7 linked regions of the Xenopus tropicalis genome follow. The protein of the gene in region 1 purifies or fractionates together with the protein of each later gene. This does not show direct contact. Links are inferred from orthologs where the notes say so. Each region holds a gene or a part of one and is shown in the gene's direction. Other genes may lie near its edges.

Evidence for each region.
Region 2: the proteins of stx12 (region 1) and slc7a1 purify together in Homo sapiens (co-immunoprecipitation; 3 studies listed by BioGRID and IntAct, counting the BioPlex papers as one, with this or other methods). This does not show direct contact. The link is inferred for Xenopus tropicalis from reciprocal best matches to the Homo sapiens genes STX12 and SLC7A1.
Region 3: the proteins of stx12 (region 1) and snap23 purify together in Homo sapiens (affinity purification with mass spectrometry; 3 studies listed by BioGRID and IntAct, counting the BioPlex papers as one, with this or other methods). This does not show direct contact. The link is inferred for Xenopus tropicalis from reciprocal best matches to the Homo sapiens genes STX12 and SNAP23.
Region 4: the proteins of stx12 (region 1) and vamp4 purify together in Homo sapiens (affinity purification with mass spectrometry; 3 studies listed by BioGRID and IntAct, counting the BioPlex papers as one, with this or other methods). This does not show direct contact. The link is inferred for Xenopus tropicalis from reciprocal best matches to the Homo sapiens genes STX12 and VAMP4.
Region 5: the proteins of stx12 (region 1) and nsf purify together in Homo sapiens (co-immunoprecipitation; 4 studies listed by BioGRID and IntAct, with this or other methods). This does not show direct contact. The link is inferred for Xenopus tropicalis from reciprocal best matches to the Homo sapiens genes STX12 and NSF.
Region 6: the proteins of stx12 (region 1) and stx10 purify together in Homo sapiens (affinity purification with mass spectrometry; 3 studies listed by BioGRID and IntAct, counting the BioPlex papers as one, with this or other methods). This does not show direct contact. The link is inferred for Xenopus tropicalis from reciprocal best matches to the Homo sapiens genes STX12 and STX10.
Region 7: the proteins of stx12 (region 1) and vamp3 purify together in Homo sapiens (affinity purification with mass spectrometry; 3 studies listed by BioGRID and IntAct, counting the BioPlex papers as one, with this or other methods). This does not show direct contact. The link is inferred for Xenopus tropicalis from reciprocal best matches to the Homo sapiens genes STX12 and VAMP3.

Annotation. Positions count from the first base shown.
Region 1 is NC_030678.2:83,639,054-83,643,051, reverse strand, and holds the start of stx12 (syntaxin-12), read left to right. Parts: upstream 1-1,198; 5' UTR 1,199-1,219; coding exon 1,220-1,313; intron 1,314-3,998. UniProt on the Homo sapiens protein: SNARE promoting fusion of transport vesicles with target membranes. Together with SNARE STX6, promotes movement of vesicles from endosomes to the cell membrane, and may therefore function in the endocytic recycling pathway.
Region 2 is NC_030678.2:154,474,739-154,479,027, forward strand, and holds the start of slc7a1 (high affinity cationic amino acid transporter 1), read left to right. Parts: upstream 1-1,489; 5' UTR 1,490-1,696; intron 1,697-4,289. UniProt on the Homo sapiens protein: High-affinity, low capacity permease involved in the transport of the cationic amino acids (arginine, lysine and ornithine) in non-hepatic tissues.
Region 3 is NC_030684.2:105,577,757-105,581,917, reverse strand, and holds the start of snap23 (synaptosomal-associated protein 23), read left to right. Parts: upstream 1-1,361; 5' UTR 1,362-1,410; intron 1,411-4,161. UniProt on the Homo sapiens protein: Essential component of the high affinity receptor for the general membrane fusion machinery and an important regulator of transport vesicle docking and fusion.
Region 4 is NC_030680.2:107,501,077-107,505,340, forward strand, and holds the start of vamp4 (vesicle-associated membrane protein 4), read left to right. Parts: upstream 1-1,464; 5' UTR 1,465-1,484; intron 1,485-3,812; exon of another isoform or gene 3,813-3,918; intron 3,919-4,264. UniProt on the Homo sapiens protein: Involved in the pathway that functions to remove an inhibitor (probably synaptotagmin-4) of calcium-triggered exocytosis during the maturation of secretory granules.
Region 5 is NC_030686.2:15,512,336-15,514,986, reverse strand, and holds the end of nsf (vesicle-fusing ATPase), read left to right. Parts: intron 1-60; coding exon 61-140; intron 141-230; coding exon 231-365; intron 366-1,119; coding exon 1,120-1,233; intron 1,234-1,358; coding exon 1,359-1,414; intron 1,415-1,739; coding exon of another isoform or gene 1,740-1,767; exon of another isoform or gene 1,768-1,784; coding exon 1,785-1,794; 3' UTR 1,795-2,151; downstream 2,152-2,651.
Region 6 is NC_030679.2:140,624,130-140,628,346, reverse strand, and holds the start of stx10 (syntaxin-10), read left to right. Parts: upstream 1-1,417; 5' UTR 1,418-1,713; coding exon 1,714-1,748; intron 1,749-3,675; coding exon 3,676-3,845; intron 3,846-4,112; coding exon 4,113-4,207; intron 4,208-4,217. UniProt on the Homo sapiens protein: SNARE involved in vesicular transport from the late endosomes to the trans-Golgi network.
Region 7 is NC_030683.2:101,173,772-101,177,700, forward strand, and holds the start of vamp3 (vesicle-associated membrane protein 3), read left to right. Parts: upstream 1-1,129; 5' UTR 1,130-1,174; coding exon 1,175-1,176; intron 1,177-3,929. UniProt on the Homo sapiens protein: SNARE involved in vesicular transport from the late endosomes to the trans-Golgi network.

The DNA of each region.
Region 1 (3,998 bases):
GAAAGAGAGGATGATAATGGGATGGGAAAGAGGAGAGCAGTTAAGGGGTCTTTTTTTAAAAATTCCTGGCGCACCTCTGCTAATTCAAACTACCGTATTTCTACCTCCCACACACACAATACTTTCTTAAAGATGATTCAAAATGCAGTGACGCAAAGATTTTTGCGTGGCACAATACTCATCACTTGCCTCTGTAAGAACAGTAATCCCTAACCAGTGGCTTGTGAGCAACATAGTGCTCGCTAACCCTAGATGTCTCTCCAGGGGGTCTTAAAGCAGGTGCTTGTTTTTTAATTTTTGGCTTGAAGGCAATTTTTAGTTGCATAAAAACCAGGTGTACTGCCAAACAGAGCCTCCTGTATGCTGCCAGTCCTCATAGGGGCTACCAAATAACCAATCACAGTTCTTATCTAGCAACCCCCAGAAACATCCATACATAAAACGCTGCTATCCACTGGCACTGATGGACTTACCAAACTGCCCTCCCTCAGCATTCAGAGTTCCCAAGAAGTCCAACAGATATTACACATCGCCATGTCCAGACTGGGAGTCAAAATAGGCCCTGGCATTTCAAGTACACAAGAGGTCCAAACAGCCCTCTACCAGCCCAATAAATATTAACTGTCTATAACATCTTACAGCAGCTCCTCTGGCATTTGCCAGAACCCATAGATTGCCAGTCCCAGCCTACACATCACTCATATATAATTCCTGTATATATCACCTTGCCCTTTAACAGCAGCCTTGAACATACATATCACACACTATGCTTCAACTGCTTACCTGTTGTACAGGTAAACAACATTTTACTAAAGATCACAATACTTGTCCCCCATGTGCACCCAGCATATTTCTCATCTCCCTCCATTAAATCCAAGTACTAGGGGTGTAGGGAAAAAAAAATAATTAGACCCAGCAATTGCTCCAGGACCTGGGATATTAAGTACCCCATCCTCCAAAGGCGCACTTGCTGATTTTTATAAACCAGCAGAATTCTACATTTGCATTCCTTGTTCTCTTTAAAGGAGTGGCAACAACAGCATCTTTTCCAAGCTGTCACGTGGTATCATGACTGGGAGGCGCTTATCGCTGATAGGAGCCTGACAATTCCTACGTGACATCACGGTCACATGGCTATGACATCACGACTTCCTTAGAGTCGCTTCATCCCACCATCTCTTATACTCAGAAAGGAGGACGGGGCCCTAAGAGGAGCAACATGTCTGGGTACATGAAGCAGCAGAGCCGTGCCCGGGACTTCAACAGCATTATTCAGACCTGCAGCGGCAATGTGCAGAGGATCACAAATAACAGTCAGTATCCCCAGTTTTTCTACAGAGCACCGGTCCTATTCCTGTATATATATCCGTGATCGCAGCGAGCTGCACACACCCGCAGTATATAGATGGGGGTACTGGTGGAGATTTGAAGGACGAATTGTTAGCCATTGGCAATGGGAACTTTTGGACAACAGAGATTAACATGTTATATGGGCCCCTTGTATTATGTGTAATTCCCAGGTGCTACACACCCACTGATGTACAGGAAGGGCGGCTATACTGACACAGCTGGAAATAGAGAAAATTATTTATATAGCATTGCATATATGGAGACTGGACAGTTGGCAAATGACAAAAATCAACTAATGTTTCCTTGTGTTGGTTGGTGGGTGGGTGTACAGTACAGCAGCTATCAGCTGGCATGTTCATTGGCAGAGGGGCACAGAGAAGCAGGGGTGACAGGCAGGAAGGGAGCTAAGTGCAGTGGGAAGTCATTTCCTACTGGAGATTCCTGATTGGGTTACTGTTACCAAGAAGTTACTACTGTTAGGCTTGTCACCTGGTTGGGCTCTTGCTGTGGTTAAACTACACATTACAATATTATCCTAAAGGCAGCATTTGTAGAAATGTAGTTCAGCAACCAGTGAAATCAGGCTGAGCAGTTTTACCCTCGCTTACTGAATTTGTGTTGAGTGGGTTACATTCCTGCCTTACTCCATGGGGGTTTTTTGTTCCCCCCTAACTGCCTGATCACTGCTTTGCAAGCTCAGAGAAAATTTTGGGCGTGGGCACAAGCAGGATTCACCAGGTCAGGCAGGGGCCATGAAATTGTAATATTTCCTTCCTCCCAGCATGACAGCAGGATAGGAGTTCATAATGTGTGATTTATCATGTTGAATGAATGAGACTTGGCAGGAAATATGTATTTTCTTGTATATCATTATGTATTAGATTCACAGTATTGACTTCTGCCAATCATTACATACCCCCAGAAGTAAGTAAATAAATAAATATGGAGTCTTGGTACTACTGGCCTCTGTTCTTCAAGTCTATGTGTAGTTTCATTCTTAAACAAGTGTTCAGCTCTTAATTAAAGGATGCCATGGAATAGTAGTAAATACGTCATAAGAGCAATTTGTCACTCCCTCTATTTGGACTAGACATAAGACATTTACTATCCAAACATACCCATTCCTTAACCATCTTAAAGGGGCATCTTTAACAAAATTACACTTTGCCTGTTGGTCATGTTAGGTTTAGTAAAGTAAAGGAATTTGGGGGGAAAATACCTTACATTTTTACTTGTTAAAAATCCTATGTTTCCGCTTCCATTTGAAAGTGAAATCACATGATTAATGTCCTTAGTCTAAGAAGGCAGCAGTCAGTCCTGTCTTGCTTTATAGCTGAGAATCTAGTTATCTTTATAACAGAACATTCATTGTACTGTGATTCAAGCAGGCTTGGACTGACATGGTATTTTTTTTTAAAAAGGTTTTTTTGAGATGATAGTATCTTAATTATATTCAGTATTTTTAATGAGAAGTGGTAAATGTGCACTCCATGTGAGAGCCTCTAATTAAAAGTGGATATAGCAAGGACGTAATTCATGTAATGAGATTTTTTGTTCATTGTTCACTATGCTGCTGTTTTTCTTTTTGTAATTATAGACTAGCACAGTGCAGTGTTTACAGGAAAATTGCTGCTGTCCTACAAATGACTGTTATTGTATGTTTTGGAATGGCCCAGTTATTCTGCACTGATAACAGCACACTGCTGAGATCTGATAACTGTGTTTTCAGCTTCTCGGTATGCTGTCAAGGTGTGTTGTTGTGTCATACTGATATAAGGTGCACTGTTGTCATGAAGTGCGGTACAGGTTGAAGTTACATAGTCTTTTTCAGATAGGTAATGTTTTATTGGGCATGTTCAGCAAATATAATTTATACAGAGACTTTACAGGTTTTCACAGGAATTTGTTGGTGAAAAAGGTTCCTTCCATAACCTAAAGCTTTAACACTGAAGCCTGGCATCCCCCTACCCCCTTTACTTACCTGTGGCACTTGTCTAGTCAAGGTTGATTTAAACAGTACTTCCAGCCTTGTCGGGTCAGTACCACACCCAAAGCCCAACATCTTCAAAACAGCAGCCATTTCTAAAAAAGAAGTTGAAGTCTGGTACAGGTAAATAAAGAAGGTGCAATATTTTAGTTGTAACTCATTAGAGATGGCCTAGAAAAGGAATATCAATAATAAATATAAATTTCTATTAAAAAAAAAAAAAAACACAGGTACAGGTATGCGACCTATTATCCAGAATGCTAGGGACCTGAGATTTTATGGATAAGGGATCTTTCTGTAATTTGGATCTCCATAGCTTAAGTCTACTAAAAGATTATTTAAAAATTAACCTCAATAAGCTTGTTTTGCTACCAATAAGGATTAATTTTATCTTAGTTGGAATCAAGTTCAAGTAACTGTTCTGTTATTACAGAGAAAAAGGACATTTAAAAAAAATATTAGAATTATAGGCTTATAATGGAGTCAGTGGGAGTCGGAACTTCCTGGATAAGGGGTTTCCTGATAACAGATCCCATACCTGTACAGGTTTGGGATCAGTTATCTGGAAGACTTCAGACCTGGGGTTTTCCGGATAAGAAGTCTTCCCATGATACTGATCTCAGTACCTTTTTTAAATTTGTTAAAAGGAAAAAAATAATCT
Region 2 (4,289 bases), about 71 Mb from region 1:
TAACTTCCAATCGGAGATTCAAGGCAAAATATTTGCCAGACTGGGAGATAGGCTCACAGTGTCCCTGTCCTTGTTGGCTGCACATGTCCCTCTTGTCTTCGGCTTTTGTTTTTTACTGAAACGTCAAATTTATATTGGCTTTATTGTGTGGCTGAGAGGCAGCTTGTAATATTCCCTTTACATACTCATCGGAGCCAATTGAATAAAATAGTATATAAAATACAGTCAGGAGTGAAATGTTCAGCCTTACGTGTGTATATATAGTGAATGCTGCACCCCCTATTGTAATATATATGGATATTATAAGTTACCAAAGAGTTTCATGACTATATGGAACTCCGAGTTTACTTATAATATTCTCATATTTTACAACAGGGGGTGCAGCATTTATTATAATACACAAGTTTCAATGAGTCATGACAGAAATTACATCACTCAGCATCGATAATAACTAATGATCACTAAGCACAGTTTATTAGGATATAGTTTACAGGATAGTCAGGGCTGTATTTAGGGCCTTTGCCACCCTAGGCACCGGACCTAAATACACCGTTTGGCGCATAAGTAACATCACATGCACCTACATCATTAAAGTGATGGGCAACCTGACCCCCTTACCCTCACTTATGGAAATCTGTGATGCCTGAGTGCATTTTTATATAGGTACCCGAAGGCCGCCCCCCAAAATCTGCCACCCTAGGCACAGGCACTTGGCTGCCCATATATAAATACATCAGTGGCTCTTGTGTATATTATAGAAATGAATGTATAATTCTTAATGATGTCATTAGTTATAATTGGTGCTCTGCCAAAAGCCTCCTTATGTAATTACATTTGAGAAATGTTGTATCTTTTTTGGTGCAGGAGCTCAAAGGGAAATGAAGGATTTTTCAGTAAGAATCCAGGACTGCAGGCTGAGAACAGGACAGTTGGGAGCTAACCCCAGGCTCAGCTGTCACCCTTTCTTTATGTCAACTCATTCTTGCTGCCATGTTTTCCCTTTACTCTAGAACTGTCATCATTCCTCAGCTCTCTCAGTCTTTATTCTCTTCCTCTGGGGGGGGGGGGGCTATACACTTTAGATATGCCCAGATATATATCCCCATAGGGTTTGGGAAGGATTTTGCCTTTACTCTTTTGCTTGTTTTTGAAAGTTAGACCTGGCAGCACAAACCCCACGTACACTTTGAGCCAACAACTGTAGGAACGATGGCAACGTGAATAATAACTACCCTGGCTCTGTTTCAGTTTTATACAGAAAAGGGGCACCCTCCACAAAGTGTTTAATTGCAGACGTCTAGTAAATATTGGTTTATTACAACTCTAGAGAGCCTGCCTGAGCCTGAACGGGCGGATAATGAAGTAATAAGGCTCTGTGAGGTACCAATCATGCACCGCAGCTCCCAGCCTTACTACTCCCGCTCCGGCCAATGGGAGCGGCGTATGTCAAGGTCACGTGTGAGAAGGGGCGCCCATGTAAGGCTCTGTCAGTCCTAGCCCCGCCCCCTCAGTGACGTGTAGCGGTACCTGCTCCAAGCAAGCCGGGGAGAGAGCCGGAGCTGTGAGTAATCTATTCCGGAGCGGAAGGCACTGTCACGGTTGAGAGAAAGGCTGTACCAAGTGCAGGAGGAGTTCGGTATTTTCCGAGAGCCCATCGTGACCCCCCCCACCGCGTCACATTTTCCGCTCCACAAAGGTAATGACAGCTGCTGTCCCGCCTTCTCTCGCTGCCTGCTCGCTACTCACTCACTGCTGTCGCTTCACAATGTGTATGAATGTACTTATAATGGCGACCCTGCGCCGCCCTGAGGCATGAAATGATAATAGTAATAATTATTGCCGGTACCAGCCGTGTTATGGGCACAAATATACCTCCCCACATGGCATGATGCAATAGCGCTGCCTCTTGGCTACTGGCTCCGCCCCTCCATGTGCCCCAGTCATGTGGGGTCTGCTACAGTTCTACGGGGGATGCTGGGACTGTGTGCCACAGCTAATGATATTTGTATATGATAAAAAAAAAATATATATATATATACGTATGTGTGTGTGTGTGTGTGAAACATTTGCTGTTACAGTGTATTGTATGGATACGCACAGGCTAAATGAGTAGGACTTATGCTGAAAATACATTTTGCCTGGTCTTTAATTTAAAAATATATATTTTTAGTTTTTTTTTTTTATAAGGCAGCAGTTATGATAGGGCTCCTTGGTGCCCTGTGGCCATAGGGGTGTTCCCTTACTTGCGTCAGTAATGGGGTGGGATGGGAGATACCTACATGGAGTCTCTTTGAATTATCTGCTCTTTTTAGCTCTACAATGAAACATATTTTTCATAATGAAAATAGAAATATGTTTAATTCAAACTCTGTTCATTAAAGGAATACTGCAATGGGAAAACATGATTTTTTTTTTCTGCAAAACTCATCAGTTAATAGAGCTTCTCCAGCAGAATCCTGCGTTGAAATCTGCTTTTCAAAACACAAACATATTTTTTATATTTAATTTTGAATTTTCACATGGGGCTAGCCATATTCTTCATTTCCCAGGGTGCCACAGCCATGTGACCTGTGCTCTTATTAACTTTAGTCTCACTTTACCGCTGCGCTGCAAGTTGGAATGATATGCCCCCCCTCCCAGCAGCCGATCAGCAGAACAATGGGAAGGGAGCAAGAAAGCAGTTCCCAGTAGGTATCAGAATAGCACTCAATAGTAAGAAATCCAAGTCCGGCTTGGGACTCCTCCAGTTACATGGGAGTAGGAGAAACAATAGGTTACCTGAAAGCAGGTCTAATGTGTAGCGCTGGCTCCTTCTGAAAGCTCAGACTCAGGCACAATGTACTGAGATGCGCCTACACACCAATATTACAGCTAAAAAAATACATTTGTTGGTTTAAGATTAAAATTTTAAATGGCAGAGTGAATTACTCACGACAGTATCCCTTAAAGCTCGTGTTGAACAAGGGGGTGTACGAGCACTTTATGGCATTAACATGGGACTTTCTATTGGCCCATTTCTGTTGCTTCCAGAATGGTTAGTTAATGGCTACTCATAAATATTTAATGACACTGCTGTGTAACGTGGGACACGTAGGGCAGGGATGGGCCAGGTCCCAGAATCCCATCACCAAGCTAAAGCACTATGGAAGGAGCAACTGGAGTTTTTTTTTGGGGGGGTAATGGGTGTAATTGCTAAATATGAAGGGCAGCAAGTTCTGCCTCTTTGCTGTAGGGGATATGGTGCTTACAGAGTAATGTGCCCTGACTGCCTGACATGAATGGTCCAATGGACACCCCCATCTTTCCTTCTGGGGGCCATAAAAATCCTTTTGAGGCCCACACTTTTCCTACAGCTGTTACTTGGCACTTGGACTGCCCTGGAATAGAGAATGTGACTACGTCCCTAGCTACTAGACCCAACCCACGAGATAGGGCAGCCTAAAAATTGCATTATGTGGGACTCATTACTAAAAAAATCTTCAAAAGAAAGAAAATAATCCCTTTTAGGTGATAAAATTCAGTGTCTTTAGGCCAGTTTGGTGTACTTTGTGTTTAGTAGCTGCTCACCAGCACTCTCCTTTCTGCTGTAGATTGCAAGCTCTGATGCACAAGCCCATCTATCACCTCTTACTTGTCGTGGCTACAAAAATAGACAAAGCTGATCATTTACTGATAATTGTCTCTACATGTGTTTTGGGAGAGGCAGTTCTTAGTACTGTCTATGGCAAGGTATTATCTGGCATTTGTAGCTGCTGCACCTAAGTAGCTCCTTGTGTCTTCACTTGACCTGTCTGGTGGACCTTTGGCTGATAAAATCTGGCCACTCCGTAAGTAGTAAAGTGCAACAATCTTCATTTATCTGAATTAATGGTTTTTTTCAGATTCTTTCTTGCCCACGTGAGATCTCCCTCAGGTGACAGAGCACTGCGTCTGACATTGCCCAAATAGATATTCCTAGTTTGACATTAGCCTACTGATAGCCATACAGGCATATAATTATCACAGATTTGGCCCACAGGCCAGTAATTGGATATTAATTGCCCCTATGTAGAGAACTGCATCAGTGGCCCTGTGTAGTTTGTGTTTAAATCAACCAGGTTGCCAGGCAGATGCCCGTTGGCACGCCCCTTATTTTTGCCCCGTACTCAAGCCAACAAGCAGGAGTGGTCTTACTCCATACTTGGCAACATGGGGAATCAAAGCAGCAATTAGGATGTGGGTGGTTTTTTAGCCTCATGGTTAAACCCCTGTTAGGTTTTATTGGGGGAGGTTTTATTTGTTCCCTGATT
Region 3 (4,161 bases), on another chromosome or scaffold:
TTACAGAGAAAAAGGAAACCATTTTTAAAAATGTTAATTTTTTTATTAAAATGGAGTCTATGGGAGATTGCCTTTCAGTAATTCAGAACTTTCTGGATAATGGGTTTCTGGAGAAGGGGTCCCATAACTGTGTATAAGGGTACGGATATAATTTACAAAGCACTGGTGCTCACCATGTCTAAATCCCCTAAGCAAAGGTCCACAAAGACGGAGGCATAAAGATTCTTCTTGCTCGACCACAGATAGCCCTACAATTTAATTTGCTGAAATAAATATGCCAAGCTTTCAGGAAGGAACCCTTTGGGAAGCTTTTGTAGGTTTCCTTGGACTGCGCTAATAAATCATGTAGAGCTATGTGTGGCCCACCAGTAAGAACCTACCTGTTTGTATTTTTTGTTCTGCTTTATAATTCCCATTGAATGCCTTCCATTACTAAAGCTGTACTGCAGTTATCAATATATAGAAATATTTGTTGCTTTCATTTATTATACTAATTATATATTTATATTATTAAATCTTACTTTGCTGCTTGATTCAAGGTTAACGTCTTTTCTTTCTTTACTGTTTGGTTACCCAAAGTATTGTTCTGTGTGTCACTGTTTCCTGTGATTAGTGATACTGACACCTAAAACTAAACAATTTTTTAAATATATCATAACATTGTCTTTGCATTAGCTTAATAATATTGCCATACAAGTACTCGCTGATGCTTTACATTAAGTAATCTGATTTCCCATGTCCCTCTATGAGGGGGCGGCCATATTTGTGCAGTAGGAGGCTGTTAGCATTAGAAGCTATAACTGACAGGCTGAGAAGGGACAGTCAGGTTGGCAAAACAGTCAGGTTTAGGAGCTTTAAGTAACAATTACTTACAAAAGCAGCAGTGAAAAATAATTAACATGGCCTATAGGGAACTTTTTATGCACATTCATATTTTGAGAAGTATTTTTTTCATGTATCACTTTAAGATATTATTTAAACATAAAGGGGTTTAATGGTTATGCTTTCATAACGCATATGCCTGAAAGAATGTTACTCTTGCTTACATAATGTTTAATAAACAAATTTGGCCCTAGTTGCACAAAACCTCTCATTCTTTCTTGGTCAAATAGGCAGGTACTTTTGTATAAGTCATAACTCTAGCAAATATAAATAAAAGAAAACTGGGAGTTGAGGTAGTGGAGGGGATAGTGAGGAAGCAACACGAAAGACTGGGATTGCGCTCCCACGACTACCAGCTGACTTCGGCCGAGTTACGTCGGTTTGTCACGCCTACAATTTGGCTACGTGACGCGTCACTGCGCTGACGTGTAGGGGTGATGTCATTCTCGCGTGATGAGACTTGCGGCGTTGGAGTAATTCTGTGAGAGAGGAGGCTGGGAGGCTGCAGTTGACAGTTTTGCCTGAGCTGTAAGTAGGGAACTGGGTTGTGGGACTGTTGGACAGTGTGAAAGCTGTATGTAGTACAGAGAAGATGCAGGCGCTCGGGTAACTCCCATCATTCCTGAATTCTGGAGTTTGCTGGCAGCGGGGGTCCGGAATTCAAGGAAGTGTAGCCCCCCCCCCCCGCGATTCTTACCCTGGGGACAAGTTATTATTTATTTTTTGCCTTGCGCATCTTGTATTAAACAGGGCCCTGCTCGCACTAGCTAGTTCAAATTACATACAGTGACCCTGCCTACCTTGGGTGTTCACCTTTAGTGTTCATACAGTGGCCCCGGCTGTATTGGGCAGCTTCAGTGTTCATACAGTGGCCCCGGCTGTATTGGGCAGCTTCAGTGTTCATACCGTGGCCCCGGCTGTATTGGGCAGCTTCAGTGTTCATACCGTGGCCCCGGCTGTATTGGGCAGCTTCAGTGTTCATACCGTGGCCCCGGCTGTATTGGGCAGCTTCAGTGTTCATACCGTGGCCCCGGCTGTATTGGGCAGCTTCAGTGTTCATACAGTGGCCCCGGCTGTATTGGGCAGCTTCAGTGTTCATACAGTGGCCCCGGCTGTATTGGGCAGCTTCAGTGTTCATACAGTGGCCCCGGCTGTATTGGGCAGCTTCAGTGTTCATACAGTGGCCCCGGCTGTATTGGGCAGCTTCAGTGTTCATACCGTGGCCCCGGCTGTATTGGGCAGCTTCAGTGTTCATACAGTGGCCCCGGCTGTATTGGGCAGCTTCAGTGTTCATACAGTGGCCCCGGCTGTATTGGGCAGCTTCAGTGTTCATACCGTGGCCCCGGCTGTATTGGGCAGCTTCAGTGTTCATACAGTGGCCCTGGCTGTATTGGGCAGCTTCAGTGTTCATACAGTGGCCCCGGCTGTATTGGGCAGCTTCAGTGTTCATACAGTGGCCCCGGCTGTATTGGGCAGCTTCAGTGTTCATACAGTGGCCCCGGCTGTATTGGGCAGCTTCAGTGTTCATACAGTGGCCCCGGCTGTATTGGGCAGCTTTAGTGTTTATAACGTGGCCCCGGTTGTATTAGGCAGCTTTAGTGTTTATAACGTGGCCCCAGTTGTATTAGGCAGCTTTAGTGTTTATAACGTGGCCCCGGTTGTATTGGGCAGCTTTAGTGTTTATACCGTGGCCCCGGTTGTATTGGGCAGCTTTAGTGTTCATACAGTGGCCCATGGGCAGCTCCATGGTTGAGCCACCATCTGTGCTGTCTTTTTGTCTCTTTGCAGTGGAAAAAAGTTGGAAATAAGTACACAGAGCACTTGAGTGTGACTTCACGCTTAGGTGCCATGTGTAATTTTCCAATTGGCTGCTGCAGAAGGCCTGTGTAATGCAGCTCAGGGCACTTGATGCTATAACTAGAGAAATTTAGAAATTCACATTTGTATATTTGCAACCTTTAAGAATTATAACAGTGTCTAAAGACTTCCTTTAAATTATAAGTATGGGTGGTTTTGTACATACAATACCTATTTGTTTTTTCATAAATGCAACGTAATAACAATAATAATTAAGACTGAAAATTGGCAGATTCATAATTGAGTGCATTGGCACTTCAGACACAATACGATAACATCCTAAACTCCATTAAAATAGGTACCCCATGCCAATATAATCATTAAATGGGTTATTTCTTGTCTTTACAGAAATGTTTTCGCTAAGCAGCTCTCATATATCAAAACAAATAAGTGTCCACACTCACAGGATTTAAATTATTTGTAAAAAAAGGTAAATTTTATTACAAAATGTGAAAAAGGAACATTACAGACCTGTACTGTTACTTTTTCACATTTTATAATAAAAATGTTCACATTTTATAATAAAATATACCTTTTTTTTCAAATAATTTAAATCCTGTGAGTGGGGTACTGAAATGTTGAGGTTTGTCATGTTCCTATGCATATGTCTTAATAAATATTGACACTTTTTTACCATATAAACCCTGTGAGTGCTAACATTTCTTTTGCAGTATTTGATTACAACTGCTCTTGCACCCAGGTTCTGACTTTGTTTCATGCACTCCACTAACAAAGTCAGAACCTGGGTGCAAGAGCAGTTCTATATCTATATATATATATATATATATATATATATATATATATATATATATATATATATATATATATATAATTATGGAAGAATTTCAATCTGTGTATTCTGGCATATGCCCGAGGGGCTGCTGTAAGATTCCTGTTTAGTGGTCTATTGGGGGGAGCTATTTGGGTCTCTGTGTACTTCAAATGCCAGGGGCTATGTTGAATCCCACTCTGGGCGTGTATATGGGGATTTTATCAGGAAAAGCCACACAAACATTTTTTGTTGTTTTAAAAACCTCTATCTGATCAGTATGTCACTTTGTGGCAACCTTACCAGACTGGTTCTACAACATTTAGGCAATATTACAACGGTTTTAGCTCAGAAGCTGAATCTTTCTGGTCATCCTGTGATTACAGGTTCCTAACTGTAATCGGGTGGGGGTAGGTTAGCATGTAAATTGTTTGTTTTGGTTCTTTTCTTTTTTTCTTATTTGATTTAGGTGCTTCTTTTAGTAGTAACCGAGAATATGTAGATTGCTAGTGCACATCCACAAGGTCCTGTGGCATCCGGATAACATGACAATAAATTAAAAAGGGATGAGAATGGCACTCACAAAGCTTTGGAGCAAAAATGCCTCCACAGTGTTAAGCTCTACCAATTATTACAATTGTGGAAGCATCGTA
Region 4 (4,264 bases), on another chromosome or scaffold:
TTGTAAACGGCGGGCAAACCTTTCAGACTTTGCATGATTTTGGAAGCCTCCCATAGGACTCAATGGCACTCTGCAGCTCCAACCTGGCCCAAGGAAAGCCTCCCATAGGACTCAATGGCACTCTGCAGCTCCAACCTGGCCCAAGGAAAGTCTCCCATAGGGCTCAATGGCACTCTGCAGCTCCAACCCGGCCCAAGGAAAGTCTCCCATAGGACTCAATGGCACTCTGCAGCTCCAACCTGGCCCAAGGAAAGTCTCCCATAGGGCTCAATGGCACTCTGCAGCTCCAACCCGACCCAAGGAAAGTCACGATACTGAAGCTTGAATGAATCCGAAACTTTCGTACTCGGCGCAACGGCTACGAAAAATCGCAACAATTCACGCAAGTCGTAACGCTACGAAAAAGTCGCGACAATTTGCGAAAAAGTCATAACGGCTACGAAAAAGTCGTGACAACTTACGAAAAAAATTGCAAAATACCGATCATTACGAAAAAAAGCATTCGGACGCTTTTCGGACGTTCGTGGATTAGTAAATGTGCCCCAAGGTGTTATAAATACACACAAGCAAACACATAACCTTGCACTAGGAGTAAGTGCCCTACAAAGGGACCAATAAACCCTATCTATGTAAATGTCTACTCTACAGTATAAGGGCAGTGGTACTTGGGGAGATTAGTCACCCCGCGACAAATCTTTGTTGTCGCGGGCGACTAATCTCCCCACAATGCCATCCCACCGGCTAGAATGGGTGGGATGGCACTGTGGGGAGATTAGTTGCCCACGACAACGAAGACGATACTACTTCAAATCGCTTAACGCTCTGAATCGATATGAGACCCTTTTTTGAGTGATTTTACAAAGAAAGCAATGTCATTAAAAACTACTGGAATCGCTGAAAGTAAAACCCACTGATGGAAGCTGCTGCGATTTCCCCATTGCACTGAATATAATTTCTAATTGTGGAATATGACACTTGGATTTGTGGGAAATAGAATTGCTCCATTGTTGTAATCGCTTGTTAGGAAAAGACAAGTGACTTGTTAAAAGCGACTCACTTTTTAAAAATCACAGCGACTAAATCTCCCCATGGGATATTAGCCTAAGAAAGAGACAATTTAAAATAAAATGAAAGAGCAAATATTTGTTCAATACTAAAAATAATGACAACATTTCTTTAATGTCTCTATTTCATCTTAAAAGATGTAATTAATACTTAAAAAAACATTTTGTACGGCGTTAATGAATACAAACAACGTCAAATCATTAATTTCAGTCCTACAATGGTGCTGGCAGGCTGGCTTCACACTGTGCCAGTGCGCTTGCGCATTGTGAGAACGCCGAACTCTAGATCATTCAGAGGGTTAAAGGGAACAGGACGGTGAATCGCGTTTCGAGCGATGGATGGTTTACAGTCAGCTGGAGCGCCATGTTAGCCAGTGAATAAGCTTAGAGCTGAGCATCGCTGGAGTCTCATCCGAACAGGTACAGGTCTGCCGCATCGGCTCTAGTTGGGAGGGATTCCCCCAATAGTGAACCGTCCGAATATATTACAGCTGCCAGTTTGTCTTGTGACAGTCACAGGCGGTGAGGAAGATGGCTCGGTCTTATTGTCTTCTTGTCAGTGGTTCCTCTTTACAAATCCCAGTGTTTGTGTTACTGTACTAAATACGAATTGCTACACACTTATGGCCACCTATTGCTTTACTTGTTAATTTATCTTCTATGTGTGTGTGTATGTATGTATATATATAATATATATATATATTATACACACACACAGTACTCAAGCCATGAATATCCAGTAAATTGATAGTGATAATCAGTGCTTAGTTCTAAAATTTGTGTCTTGCTGCGTTGTGCCACTATATGGTCATGAAACCTCCCATAACCTCTGATATCTTTATCATGTACAATAGAGGGTACATATATAGTCTCATTGACTGTCATAAGGATGATCTTGATGACAACTTTGTATAGATTGGAACACGTAGAACTTTTAAAGGGGTTGTTCACCTTAAAATTAACTTTTAAGTATGACGTGGAGATTTATATTTGCATTTGGTCTTAATTTTTATTATTTACGGTTTTTTAATTAATTTGCTTTTTGCGAAGCAACTCTTCAGTTTGGAGTTTCAGCACCTATCTGGTTGCTTTGATCTTAGTTACCCTAGTAACCAGGCAGTGGTTTGAATTAGAGACTGGAATATGAACAGGAGAGAACGTAACTAGGAAGATAAGTAATGAAGAGAATGACAATAAAATTGTAGCCTCACAGAGCAATAGTTTTTGACAGACAGGGTCAGTGACAGGCCCGGACTGACGATATGTGGATTCTGGTAAATTCCAGAGGGGCTGCTGTAAGATACCATAGACAGTCACTATTGGGCTGGTGGGGGCTGTTTGGGCCTTTTGTGTACTTGAATTGGCCAGGCCTATTTTGAATCCCAGATCAGACCTGGTCAGTGACCCCCATTTGGAAGCTTTAGAAGAAGAAGCCAAATAATTCAAAAACGATACAAAATAACAAATGAAGACCAGCTGAAAAGTTGCCAAGTATTGATCATTTTATAACATAATAAAAGTTAACTTGAGGTGAATCACTCTTTAACTTCACTGGATTACTTAAATAACATGCAAAAATAAGTGCTTTTGTATTGTGACTGTATATAGTAAGCATCCGGCTGGATACTTCAGAATTATTGGAGTGTGTCTGGATGGGATGGAGATAAATAAAATGTTAGGCACCCCCATTGATTGTAATCATTTACCTGATACCCCAGCCGGTGCTCCTGTTTGGAGAAAACTGCAGTGGCCTTGGGTATATGTGAGCGAGTGTTCCTTTTCCTTTTATCTTCTTTCTTCGGAATCCAGGGGCCGAAGCATGCTCAGTTGAATGAAAAAGCCAGCTATTTTGTTAAAGCCGGCTTTTTACTCTACTGCACATGTGCAAAGAAGAAGGAACGCTCGCTCGCATACACCCTGGCCACTGCAGTTTTCTCCAAACAGGAGCACCGGCTGGGGGTTTCAAGTAAGCGATTGAAGTCACTGAGGGGAGGGGGGCTGCCTAACATTTTGGCACCCCCAAGTGATTGTAACTTTCCTTCTCCTTTAGGGCCGTGGCAGACGGGGAGATTATTCGCCTGCAACAAATCTCCCTTGTCGCGGGCGACTAATCACCCCGATATGCCACCCCATCGGCTTAAATGTCAATCGCCGGTGGTATGGCATATGCGGTGCCGCAATTTCCCAAAATTGCGGAAGTTTCCTCTCAAGGCAAACTTAAGGCCCTTAATGTTCATAATTGCGGTAGCACCTTATTCAGGCGCCGAAAATGCAGTACAGAGAAAAATAGCTTTTATAGGCCCCTTTCCTTAGCACCAGCTCCAGAGCAGAGCAGAACAGGACAGAGCCTCGGGTAATACATTTTTGAACAGTAGAATGCAAGAATTATTTTTTAGGTTTTTGCTGAACTCGCAGCTATGTTCTTGCCCCTGTGTATAATTCTACATTGTGTTCTTTTTCCTTGTAAATGCAGAATCATGGTGTAATGGGGTGGGGTGGGGGGGGGGGGGGTTGTTAGCTCTGGAAGGAAATGTATATGTGAATATTTTCATTTCTTTTTATGTAACTGGCAGTTTAGTCTGCTTTTTTCTTTATATGCCAAATATTAGCCAAGACTTAAGACTTATTATCTTTATTATTTTGTGTCCCTGGCAGTTTATTATTGGCAGCTTGTATTTTTAATTTCAAACCTAGTTGGTTGAGAAAGAAAAAAGCAGCTCTTTGTTTTATATTTATTGACCAGGTTTTAGGGGCAGCTGGGTCTCTTCATCAGACATTCCTTTAAACCATGGAGAATTATCTGTTTCAGCCAATAAAATAACCATATAAATGCCAGTATTTCCCTTTCGAAAAGGTGAGACAGTTATTCCAAAAATGCTTATATATCATGCATGTTAAGCAATCCTGCCCAGTGCACAAAGGTTTCCATCACTGTGCAGATTCTTTGTCCTATAATAGTTAATTGGAAATTATGTAGAAATAACCTGTATATGTGTGCATGGGAACTAAAGTTCTCAGCCCTTAATTTCAGCAAGAAAAAAAAATCACTAGTTTGTCAGTGCATAACATTTCTGTAAAACTTCTCAAGTCCAAATGTAATAAATAATACCTCCAGATTACATGGGCATAATGTTTACCCTAGAATGCGCCAATTCCTTAATTTTGGGGTTTTTTTCTTAAAGGTAATCACATGTTGTGGG
Region 5 (2,651 bases), on another chromosome or scaffold:
ACCAATTGTTGATTGTTTATTATGTATCATAGGTAGTTAATTTACCTCTTTTCCTGCCAGATTATGTCCCTATTGGTCCTCGCTTCTCCAACCTAGTGCTGCAGGCTCTACTTGTCCTTTTGAAGAAGGCCCCTCCTCAGGTAAAAGAGCTAAAGTTTGGTAACTAATACAAACGCTAATATAATATACTTTTCACCATTGATATCCTTCTTTCTACCACTTTTCTAAAGGGTCGCAAGCTGCTAATTATTGGCACCACCAGCCGGAAGGATGTGCTTCAGGAAATGGAAATGCTTGATGCATTTAGCACAACCATTCGTGTCCCAAATATCGTCACAGGTGAACAACTCATGGAAGCCTTAGAGGTGAGGTCATGACTTGTGTTCTTTCAAGTGGGGAGGTGTGTGCTTAGCTAAATTGCCTTGTTTTTGGCAGACCTGGCCATTTTGAGTACACAGAGGCCCAAATAGCCCCCCTGACATCCCACTCCATAATTACTGTCTATGGCATCTTACTTAAGCCTGTCTGGCATTTCCCGAATCCGCATATTGCCAGTCCAGGCCTGGCTGTTAGACAAAACTAGAGTCAAAATATTAGAAAGGAGACTCAACAGTAGATCCTAAATCTAGAAGTAAAAGTATTATTGCCAGTATAGGGCACTTCAGATTCGAATATTTTTTAACATTATTGCATTTCTATGTATGCAGTGGAATTATTATGAGAGGAATGTGCAATAACACTTCCGATACATTGGTCTGACATCTCCTATAATTCTCCTTAAATATTCACAGAGCCCTGTTAGTGTGGGGTTCTATTTCTAAAACTATAGGATGGCACAGGAGTGGTTTAATCACTGGAGTATGGCATGGAGCAATGATATGGCATAAGGCATAACGGGGTGGGGGGGATTTATTTTTTTGTGTTATGTACAAAACCAAAAGAAAACAGTAATTGGAAAGACGGGCTGTGGAAACAACCTCCATAATGTTGGCTTATAGCCTTGTTCCCTCTACAAAGCACATCCTAGTAACTAATATGCTTGAACCTGAGTATCTTTAACCAGCCACATTGGCACCATCATAACAAACTTTGTTGACTCTTTGTTTCCTGTTTCAACAGCTCCTGGGAGGTTTCAAGGACAACGAAAGATCAGTAATCGCTCAACAAGTTAAAGGCAAAAAAGTGTATATTGGAATCAAAAAACTGCTGATGCTTATTGAGATGTCCATGCAGGTAAGTGGTGAGCCGATGGTTTAGATTTCTGTATAATGCTGATGCGGGTATACTTGCCTCCCTCATTGATGCTTGCAATGACTAAAGATTATTTTTAGCATGCTTAATTTTACCTGCTTTTGCAGATGGATCCAGAATACCGGGTTAGCAAGTTCCTTGCTCTTCTCAAAGAAGAGGCAGCGTAAGTATTTTCACTCACAACTTACAACCAACTTCCAAACCTCTCAACTTATTTTCGCAAGTTCCATTCCCCCAGAATCTTCTTTTATGTATAAAATGATTAGATAATGGTATTTGGGGGTTACATGATACTGCTGAATGACGATGTACATAATGTATCCAGCATTCTTTAACTGTCTGCCTGTTTCTAGCCGTGGAGCCCTGTAATTATTAGTTGTGCTAAGCAGAAACTCTCTTCTGCCTTATCTAGTATAAATAAATCTAAAGCAACTGGACTTGTTAAGTAATCATTGAAGACTTCTCTCTTCTGCCTTCTTTCTTTTAAGAGAGCCCGTCCATCGTGGCTATGACTAACATACTGTCTCTCCCAGATGGAAGTGAACATTGAAGCCGTTACCACATTAAGACGTTAAACATTCCCCAAAGTGCAGCTCTACCAGGGAAGGCTGGATTCTCGAATTGTGCTGCTGGCTCTGTGATTTCTCCGTCACGTGGTGCATGTTCTTAATAAATACCTTCTTGTCCGTCGTCCGAAGCTGTCGCAATACTTCCCTCTCTATCAGCTTCCTGAACTACAAATGCCCAAAGCAGGCTGTGATCCACTGCTGTCTTTCAATAGGTATTCTGTAACTCTGAGATGGTAATTGGTAAGCTTCTCAGATAACCTTTAAAGGGCCGCGATAACTTTATTTTTACCCTATGTATTTTTCTAATAGAAATATTAAAAATGAAACAATTTCCCTTTTTGTTTTGTTTCCCCCTGGCTTCTACGAAGGTGCAGTTTCAGCCTTGTCTAAACTGCCATTGTCACAGGAAATCTTTGTTTGCTGCAAGTGTATTGCTACACTGGAAGCAAATAAAGACGATTGCCTGTACAATGGATTGTACTATTGCCAGAAGTTAGCTGGCGGAGGGAAAAGTTGACCAGCAGGGTGGTAGGATTTTATTGTGGGCTGCAGCAAAAATATAAAAAGATTACTTCTCTGCCCTAGTATATGTATGCCTCCATACTAGGCACAATTCTCCATGGAGATATAAGGGGGTCAGAAATAGACAGCTATATTACCATGCAGTAGTGCATTAGGTTAATGGACGAAAGTTGTTAAATTCAAGGCCCAGACACTATATAAGACACTGTATTATATACTATTGTTGAAAGAGTTACAGATCGCTATGCCCTAGTGCAGGGATCACTAATGATTTGATCACAGGCTTAGGCTTTGCATGCCCTGCTGAAA
Region 6 (4,217 bases), on another chromosome or scaffold:
CTCACTGTAGTTCTGACTCCTGCACTCATGCCTGTTCTCTCATTAATACGGTCTGTAACCCTTTGTTGGCAATAGAGCCAACACATTACAGCAAATGAGCCTTTGCTCAGGTGGAGGGAGGAGTCAGATGAGGCTGAACTGTATCTCTCAGACTATGCACAGAAGGTGCAATAATACTGATGGTGAGAAGGTTTGTTGGGTGTGGTAGGGGTACAGTTTCTCCTCTTGGGTGGAAGGACTATCCCCGCCATGAGTGCCCCCCATGCTCACCTTGCTCCTACTGTGAGACTTGCAGCACAGGGTTTATCTGGCACCGGTGATGTCCCACTGCCTTCTTATAGGGGCCCATTCTGCAATCACAACAGCACCAGGAACATCTGCCTTTAATCCTTCTAGGACCTCTGCCCCACACTTGACACTATGGCCACTGCTGACCAAGCCCCTCCTTACTTTCCCAAGATTCCAGTCCCCCCACACCTCTGGCTGTAATCCACAACCCCCCCCCCCCCCCCCCCCGATCAGAAGTGTGGCACCCCCAGCATCAGCCATCAAATCTATCCCATCCATTACCATTACCTGCTGCTATTATTTCTGCATGAAGATATCCATTCAGATTCACATTCAGAACTACCCACAAAATGGCAGCGGTTATACTTGGCCAATCACTGCTCTTCATTTACTCCCAACAAGCGCAACAACCCCCTCCTGAAGTGGGATCCACAGACAATGCGCCCCATACTATTGGGGGAACAAGGTGCAGGTTACACAGCCAGTTGTGCCAGTGCAGGGCAGCAGTACAATATATATTCATTACTTTGATATACTTTATTATTTTTGGTGTTACTGTTCCTTTAATTGGGCTGGTTGGGCCAAAAATACCCCAAAGTCAACGGAAGTTCTCAGCAGCCCCTCTGGCATTGGCAAAGATTTCCCCAAAAGGTCGATTTTTCCATCTTCTTAAAACTAAATAAATACTCCTATGCCACCCTGCCCCATCTTGTTTGCGAACGTTCTCCCATTATGCGGGTATTTTCCTCCAAATTTCCCTACTTTCACTTCCTCATTAGAAACAACACAGCGCCCCCAGCGAAGCTTCAACCGAACTGCAGCATTTCAGCACCAGTCACGTGACCTAGAAGTGAACTGATCGGATTAACAGAAATACACTACAAGTCCCGTGATGCTTCGCGCCTGAACCGGAGACACGTGACGGCAGGGAAGCCGAGGAGGGCGGAAGTAGGCGAAAAAGTGACTGGAAGAAAGATTGTCAGTAGGGGAGAGTTTAGAGTGTTGCGGAGAGAGTGAGACTCGGGGTCGGAGTGACAGAAGCTTGTTGCTAGGAGACAGATTTATTGTTATTATTAGAGGTACAAGTGATAGAGGTGCGGGGCAGGGAGCGGGGGGAGATGAGTTTATACACGTGTTTATATAAACAGAGGCTGTGAGGGGAGGGGGCAGAGTGCGGCCCCAGGGATGGGAGAGATACCCTGCTAGCCCCTATACTCACATATACACACACACACACATATATATATACAGGTATAGAGAGAGACAGGAGCTTATATAGAGGCTGTAGATTCCTATAAGGGCAGCTGGGGCAGAGAATGCAGTAAGTGCCTGGGCACTCTAGGGGCGCTATGTAAGTACAGACATAGATTATTGTATAGAGTTAGATAGAAGGGGAAATAAGCCAAAACAGGAAGAAAAGCCAAAATGTCTCTGGACGATCCATTCTCAGTGGTGAGAGGGTGAGTATTGGCTTCTTATTCCAGCAAATGGGCAGTGCCATGCTGCCTGTCTCCTGTGCCCGGGGGGTTACCATAGAGACCGCAGCGAGGGGCGCCAGGGAGTATACAGGGACATGTGGGGTTCTGCCTATAGGGGAGACAGATTGTGTGACTACTGGGGGTCCTAAGAAGTATAGGGGCCCAGAGGGGCACTGACTAATAACAAGGGGTTTAGGGGGCCCAGAGGGGCACTGACTGATAACAGGGGGTATAGGGGCCCAGCGGGGCACTGACTGATAACAGGGGGTATAGGGGGCCCAGAGGGGCACTGACTAATAACAAGGGGTATAGGGGGCCCAGTGGGGCACTGACTGATAACAGGGGGTATAGGGGGCCCAGTGGGGCACTGACTGATAACAGGGGGTATAGGGGGCCCAGAGGGGCACTGACTAATAACAAGGGGTATAGGGGGCCCAGTGGGGCACTGACTGATAACAGGGGGTATAGGGGGCCCAGAGGGGCACTGACTGATAACAAGGGGTATAGGGGGCCCAGTGGGGCACTGACTGATAACAGGGGGTATAGGGGGCCCAGAGGGGCACTGACTGATAACAGGGGGTATAGGGGGCCCAGAGGGGCACTGACTGATAACAGGGGGTATAGGGGGCCCAGAGGGGCACTGACTGATAACAGGGGGTATAGGGGGCCCAGTGGGGCACTGACTGATAACAGGGGGTATAGGGGGCCCAGAGGGGCACTGACTGATAACAGGGGGTATAGGGGGCCCAGTGGGGCACTGACTGATAACAGGGGGTATAGGGGGCCCAGAGGGGCACTGACTGATAACAGGGGGTATAGGGGGCCCAGAGGGGCACTGACTGATAACGGGGTATAGGGGGCCCAGCCGGGCACTGACTGATAACAGGGGGTATAGGGGGCCCAGAGGGGCACTGACTGATAACAGGGGGTATAGGGGGCCCAGTGGGGTACTGACTGATAACGGGGTATAGGGGGCCCAGCGGGGCACTGACTGATAACAGGGGGTATAGGGGGCCCAGTGGGGCACTGACTGATAACAGGGGGTATAGGGGGCCCAGTGGGGTACTGACTGATAACAGGGGGTATAGGGGCCCAGAGGGGCACTGACTGATAACGGGGTATAGGGGGCCCAGTGGGGCACTGACTGATAACAGGAGGTATAGGGGGCCCAGTGGGGCACTGACTGATAACAGGGGGTATAGGGGGCCCAGCGGGGCACTGACTGATAACAGGGGGTATAGGGGGCCCAGTGGGGCACTGACTGATAACAGGAGGTATAGGGGGCCCAGTGGGGCACTGACTGATAACAGGAGGTATAGGGGCCCAGCGGGGCACTGACTGATAACAGGGGGTATAGGGGGCCCAGTGGGGCACTGACTGATAACAGGGGGTATAGGGGGCCCAGTGGGGCACTGACTCAGTTGCAATATATATTTCTAACTTGTTCCCAAAGTTAAGAGGGTCCCTAAAATGACTTTTCTATGGGGTCCAGTAAAGTCTCTTTATGCCGATGGCAAGCGCTTCCTGCACCTTGTCATTCCCAAGGCTCAAACCATCCGTGGCCTGTAGTGAAGCCCGCCCTACAAGGATGTCAAACAGACCTGTGTATTACAACTCCCCCCCACTCACTGACTGACTGACTGACTGACTTCCCTGCCCTAGAAAGTAAACACAGGTCAGGCTGGCTGGGCTTTGCCTTGTGCTAGAGACCATAACCAAAGATGAAGTTATACCGTAAAACATAGACATTTGGCTGCCACCAACCCTTTCCCTGGGAGTCATTTCCCTATAGTAGTGCTGTTAGTCAGGGCCCCATAGTTAAAACAAAACTAGACTCCTCCCTTTCTCCCCCCTCGTTCCTCTGGTAGCCATCTCTCTGTCCTGTATTACTCTCTTTCTCCCCCCGCAGAGAGGTGCAGAAGGCTCTGAACACCAGCCGGGGTTTGTACCAGCGCTGGTGTGAACTCCTCCAAGAAAGCCAAGTTACCAGTGCCGAAGAGTTTGATTGGACGACCAACGAGTTGCGGAATTCCTTGCGCAGCATTGAATGGGATCTGGAGGATCTGGAAGAAACCATCAGTATCCTAATTGGTCAGACACAGTGCCAGTCCCTGTCAGGTAACCCTGAAATAGCCCGAGAGGCACCTAGTTGATACCAGGCATATTGATAGGAGGCCCCGAGGTGGCCCATCTAACATACTGGCGCTAGAATAAACCCATGGGATACAAAAGGGCCCCTAGCGTATGGGTTTATTCTACTGTTACGCTCTGTGTTGTTCCCTTGGCCACTGGTAGCCTTTTTGCAATTCTAGTCCATTCCACAGTTTTCCTTTACTCCCATCTTGGGCATCGTGGAATCGAACTCGCGAAAATTCAAGATCACCGGGACGGAGCTTAGTGAGAGAAGGAGTTTTGTGGAGCAGACGCGGAATTCTGTAAAGGTAAATTAAA
Region 7 (3,929 bases), on another chromosome or scaffold:
CGAAACAAGGTTTCGGTGCGTGTATGGCCAGCTTAAGGCCAAACTATAACATGAAAGGGATACAAAAAGTCAAGCCTGCACCATCCGATCGTCATCTGGACGATTTTTGGGCAGCTATTGGTTGGGGATGCCTGTCAGAGGGCCCCATACATTGACAGATAAGATGGCGAATTACTGTGAAGAACCCGAATTGGCAGCTTTAAGGTGCATGGCCACCTTTATAGAATTGCTAATATCTTTTCTACCAACCACCTGATATCTTTCCTATCCAAACTTCCCCTCCCCAAAAATCACCTACAATTCCCCTCTTCCTTCCTAGGAGGCGTGGCTAGTCCAGGCCCACCCATGGCAAACTTTGTGTGGAACCTACTGCAGAGGAGAGTGGGTGGGGGCTCTCCAGGCCATGGGACAGGACACCTGTTTACTTGGGGAAGCTGGTTATAATAATTAAATTAATTTAACCTGCAAATAGTTGCAGTCTATATACATATTTATATTGTTTTATTTCTTCCTTAACCTCAAAACATTTTAGTCCGCAGCTTGGCCAATGTTATTAAAAGAATAACTCGTCTCCTGGTCAGGTTTATATAACGGTGTTGTAAGAATTCCATATGGATTTAGTTTGTAAGCTTTATTTGACTACTGAGGTAAATGATTATTTCTGTTACTGCGCTGCAGGCTGCATAGCTATAAGTGCAATGTTCTCAGCTACCATTTATACCAAAGGGGCCCCAGGGAGGCTGTGTGCCCAGGCTGAATACTCTCTAGTTAAACTTTAGAAGCGTTCCCCTAATGTCGCAGCAAGAAACACATTAGACTGCCCGACACGCCTAGGGCCCCCCGCCGCCTCACACTATTCTGAACATAACCCTTGCGTGTGGAATTTCGCACGCCAAGCCCCCATGCCAGTTCATTGGCGGGAATATCGCAGCGGTTTCCGCCGTTCCCCGAGGGACAATTTAACAAGACAAAACCGGGAGCGGCTGTGCCACACACGTGACCTGCTGCTCAGCTGACAGCGCTGCACCTGACGTCATTGATGCTGGCCACGCCCTGAGTTGCGCTGGCCACACCTCTCCCGGCAGCGGAACTCTACGGGATTGCGGCTACACAAGGCAAAAACGCCCAGCGGAGTAAAGTCGGACCGGTGTCCTGCAGTATCTAGCCTGTCAAAATGTAAGTGTGCCAGTAGTGCTTGGGGGGGGCTGCCTTTACAAGTTGCGGGGAACGCCCTGCCCGGTATCCGCCCTTAGCCCTGCGCTACCGAGCGGGGCCTGTGAGGCGTAGAGTTTGGGCGCAGAATGTGCTATTTTGTCCGTACAAAGTTGTATTTAGTTCGGCCGAGAAGTTTGTGCATAGGCTTATAGGGGTGTTTGACAGGGGACACAAGTGCCCTATGGCTTTAAAGGGTAAATACAATTACAATAGGCGTGTAATGTTTCAGTCTGCTTTCTGAACTCCTAGCAGTGTCGGACTGGCCCACAGGGATACCGGGAGAATTCCCAGGGGCCCTCCTGCTTCTAGCCATTTGGCCTAATTCAGGGTCCTTACTTATTTTTCTATAAGGGAACAAAGCAACTAAATATATAGAAAAATAGATTATAGTCTGTAAAGATAAAGAAAAATAACTTGGAATATATAGAGATAAGAAATGGATGAAAAATAATTTGGAGGGTGGCCCCATGGTCTAAGGCAGTGATCCCCAACCAGTGGCTCAGGGGCAACATGTTGCTCCCCAACCCCTTGGGTGTTGCTCTCAGTGACCCCAAACCAGGGAGTTATGTTTGAATTCCTGACTTGGGGGCAAGTTTTGGTTGAATAAAAACAAGATTTACTACCAAATAAAGCCCCTGTAAGCTGATAGTGTGCATAGAGGCTACCTAATAACCCTTATTTGGCTCCTCCATGAACTTTATGGTGCTTGTGTTGCTCTCCAAGTCTTTTTACATTTGACTGTTGCTCACGAGTTAGAAAGGTTGGGGATCCCTGGTCTAAGGTTTTCTGGTGGGCTTTTAGCATCCCAAGTCCGACACTGACTCCTAGCATCTAATGGGATGGGAGTTGTAGTACAATAACAGCTTGTTGTTACATTACATAATATGACTTCTGTTAGAACTCAAAATAGACTTAATGGCTCGCATTTGTATTTACTGCTTCACAAGTCTTGACTCATTTTAAGAAATGGTTCTTAATGTGAATGTTCTGCTGCAGCACATTGTTGTTTTACGGAATTTATGTTGTTCAGATTGGGTGAATTTCATCAGCAGATAGGTTTCATTTCAAGTGCATTTGCTACATGTCACAGGGTAGGTTTTGACCACCATTGTATCCTGGTGGGGGTTTAAGCCCCTGAAATCACCCACGCCTGCCTCCCATAGCAACCAGAGGAAATCACCCTTGTGATGGCTGCATAGGCTGAGGATTTCTAATACATTACTATGGGAAGTGGCAACCAGCAAATTTATCAGATATTGGTCTAAGAATCATAATAAGGAACTTGTTACAGTTAGGTAATACTATTTAGGGTGAAGACACACAGAGCTACTAGTAGCAGCTACTTGTCATGGCTACTAAAAAAGGCTGCTGATCATTTACTGATAGTTATCTCTACATGTGTTAGGGCATTAGGGTATTTTCTGGAGTTTAGTAGCCTTTACAAAGTAGCTGGTACTAGTTGCCCATTGTGTCTTCACCCTTAAAGGAACAGTAACACCAAAAAATGAAAGAGCTTTAAAGTAATAAAAATATAATGCACTGTTGCCCTGCACTGGTAAAACTGGTGTGTTTGCTACAGTAACACTACTATAATTTATATAATAAGCTGCTGTGTAGCCATGGGGGCAGCCATTCAAGCTGGAAAAAAGGAGAAAAGGCACAGGTTACATAGCAGATAACAGATAAGTTTTATCTGTTATCTGCTATGTGCCTGTGCCTTTTCTCTTTTGAATGGCTGCCCCCATGGCTACATAGCAGCTTATTTATATAAATTATAGTAGACTTTCTGAAGTAAACACACAGCTTTTACCAGTGCAGGGCAGCAGCACATTATATTTTAGTTACTTTTATACAATTTCATTTTTTTGGTGTTGCTGTTCCTTTAAGTATCCAGATTATAACCCATATAGATACACTTGGTCAGTGTAGCAGATCTCTTCCAAACTGACTGAACATTAGGATGTAGCCTTTAGGTGACGTATTAACTTTTTTGTGACCCCAGTAGGTCCCTTCTTTCTCTAGAGAATTGCAGATTGCTGATAGCATAGCTCAATCCAATTGGGAACTCTTTTTTTGTGTAAGTCATTTATTTCAGATTCTTCTGATTAATATAATGTAACCGTATGTTGTTAGAGAGGAGAATGCCAGGGTTACACCCAAATTATTTACTCAGAGAAGGGCCAGCAGCAATAAAACAGCTTTAAACCCATTTTTACCAAAAAGGAGAGGAGCTGATCTGCACGTAGATCCCAGTAATTACCCTGGCACTAAGGAGAAGAGAAAGTGTAGCAGCTGCCTGTTTCACTTATGATCTACAGCTGCAGACCAGAATATTGTAATAAAATTATAATTATACACAATTTGTAGATTATAAGCTCTTTTGGGCAGGGCTCTCTTCACCTCTTGTATCAGTTATTGATTGCTTTATATGTTACTCTGTATGTCCATTGTATGAAACCCACTTATTGTACAGCGCTGCAAAATATGTTGGCGCTTTATAAATAAATGTTAATAATATACTGTAAGTTTTGCACTATGTGCACTTATTGCTCAAAGGTCTTTACCTTTGAGCAATAAGTGCAAAACTTACAGCAAAGTTTCTGGTGAATTCCATTCAGATGTTGGGGGCTAATGACTCCCCAGACACTTTTACATTTGATGTGCGTGTGTGTGGAGTTTGGGAGGCATTCTGTCTCAGAGGCTGATTATATCAG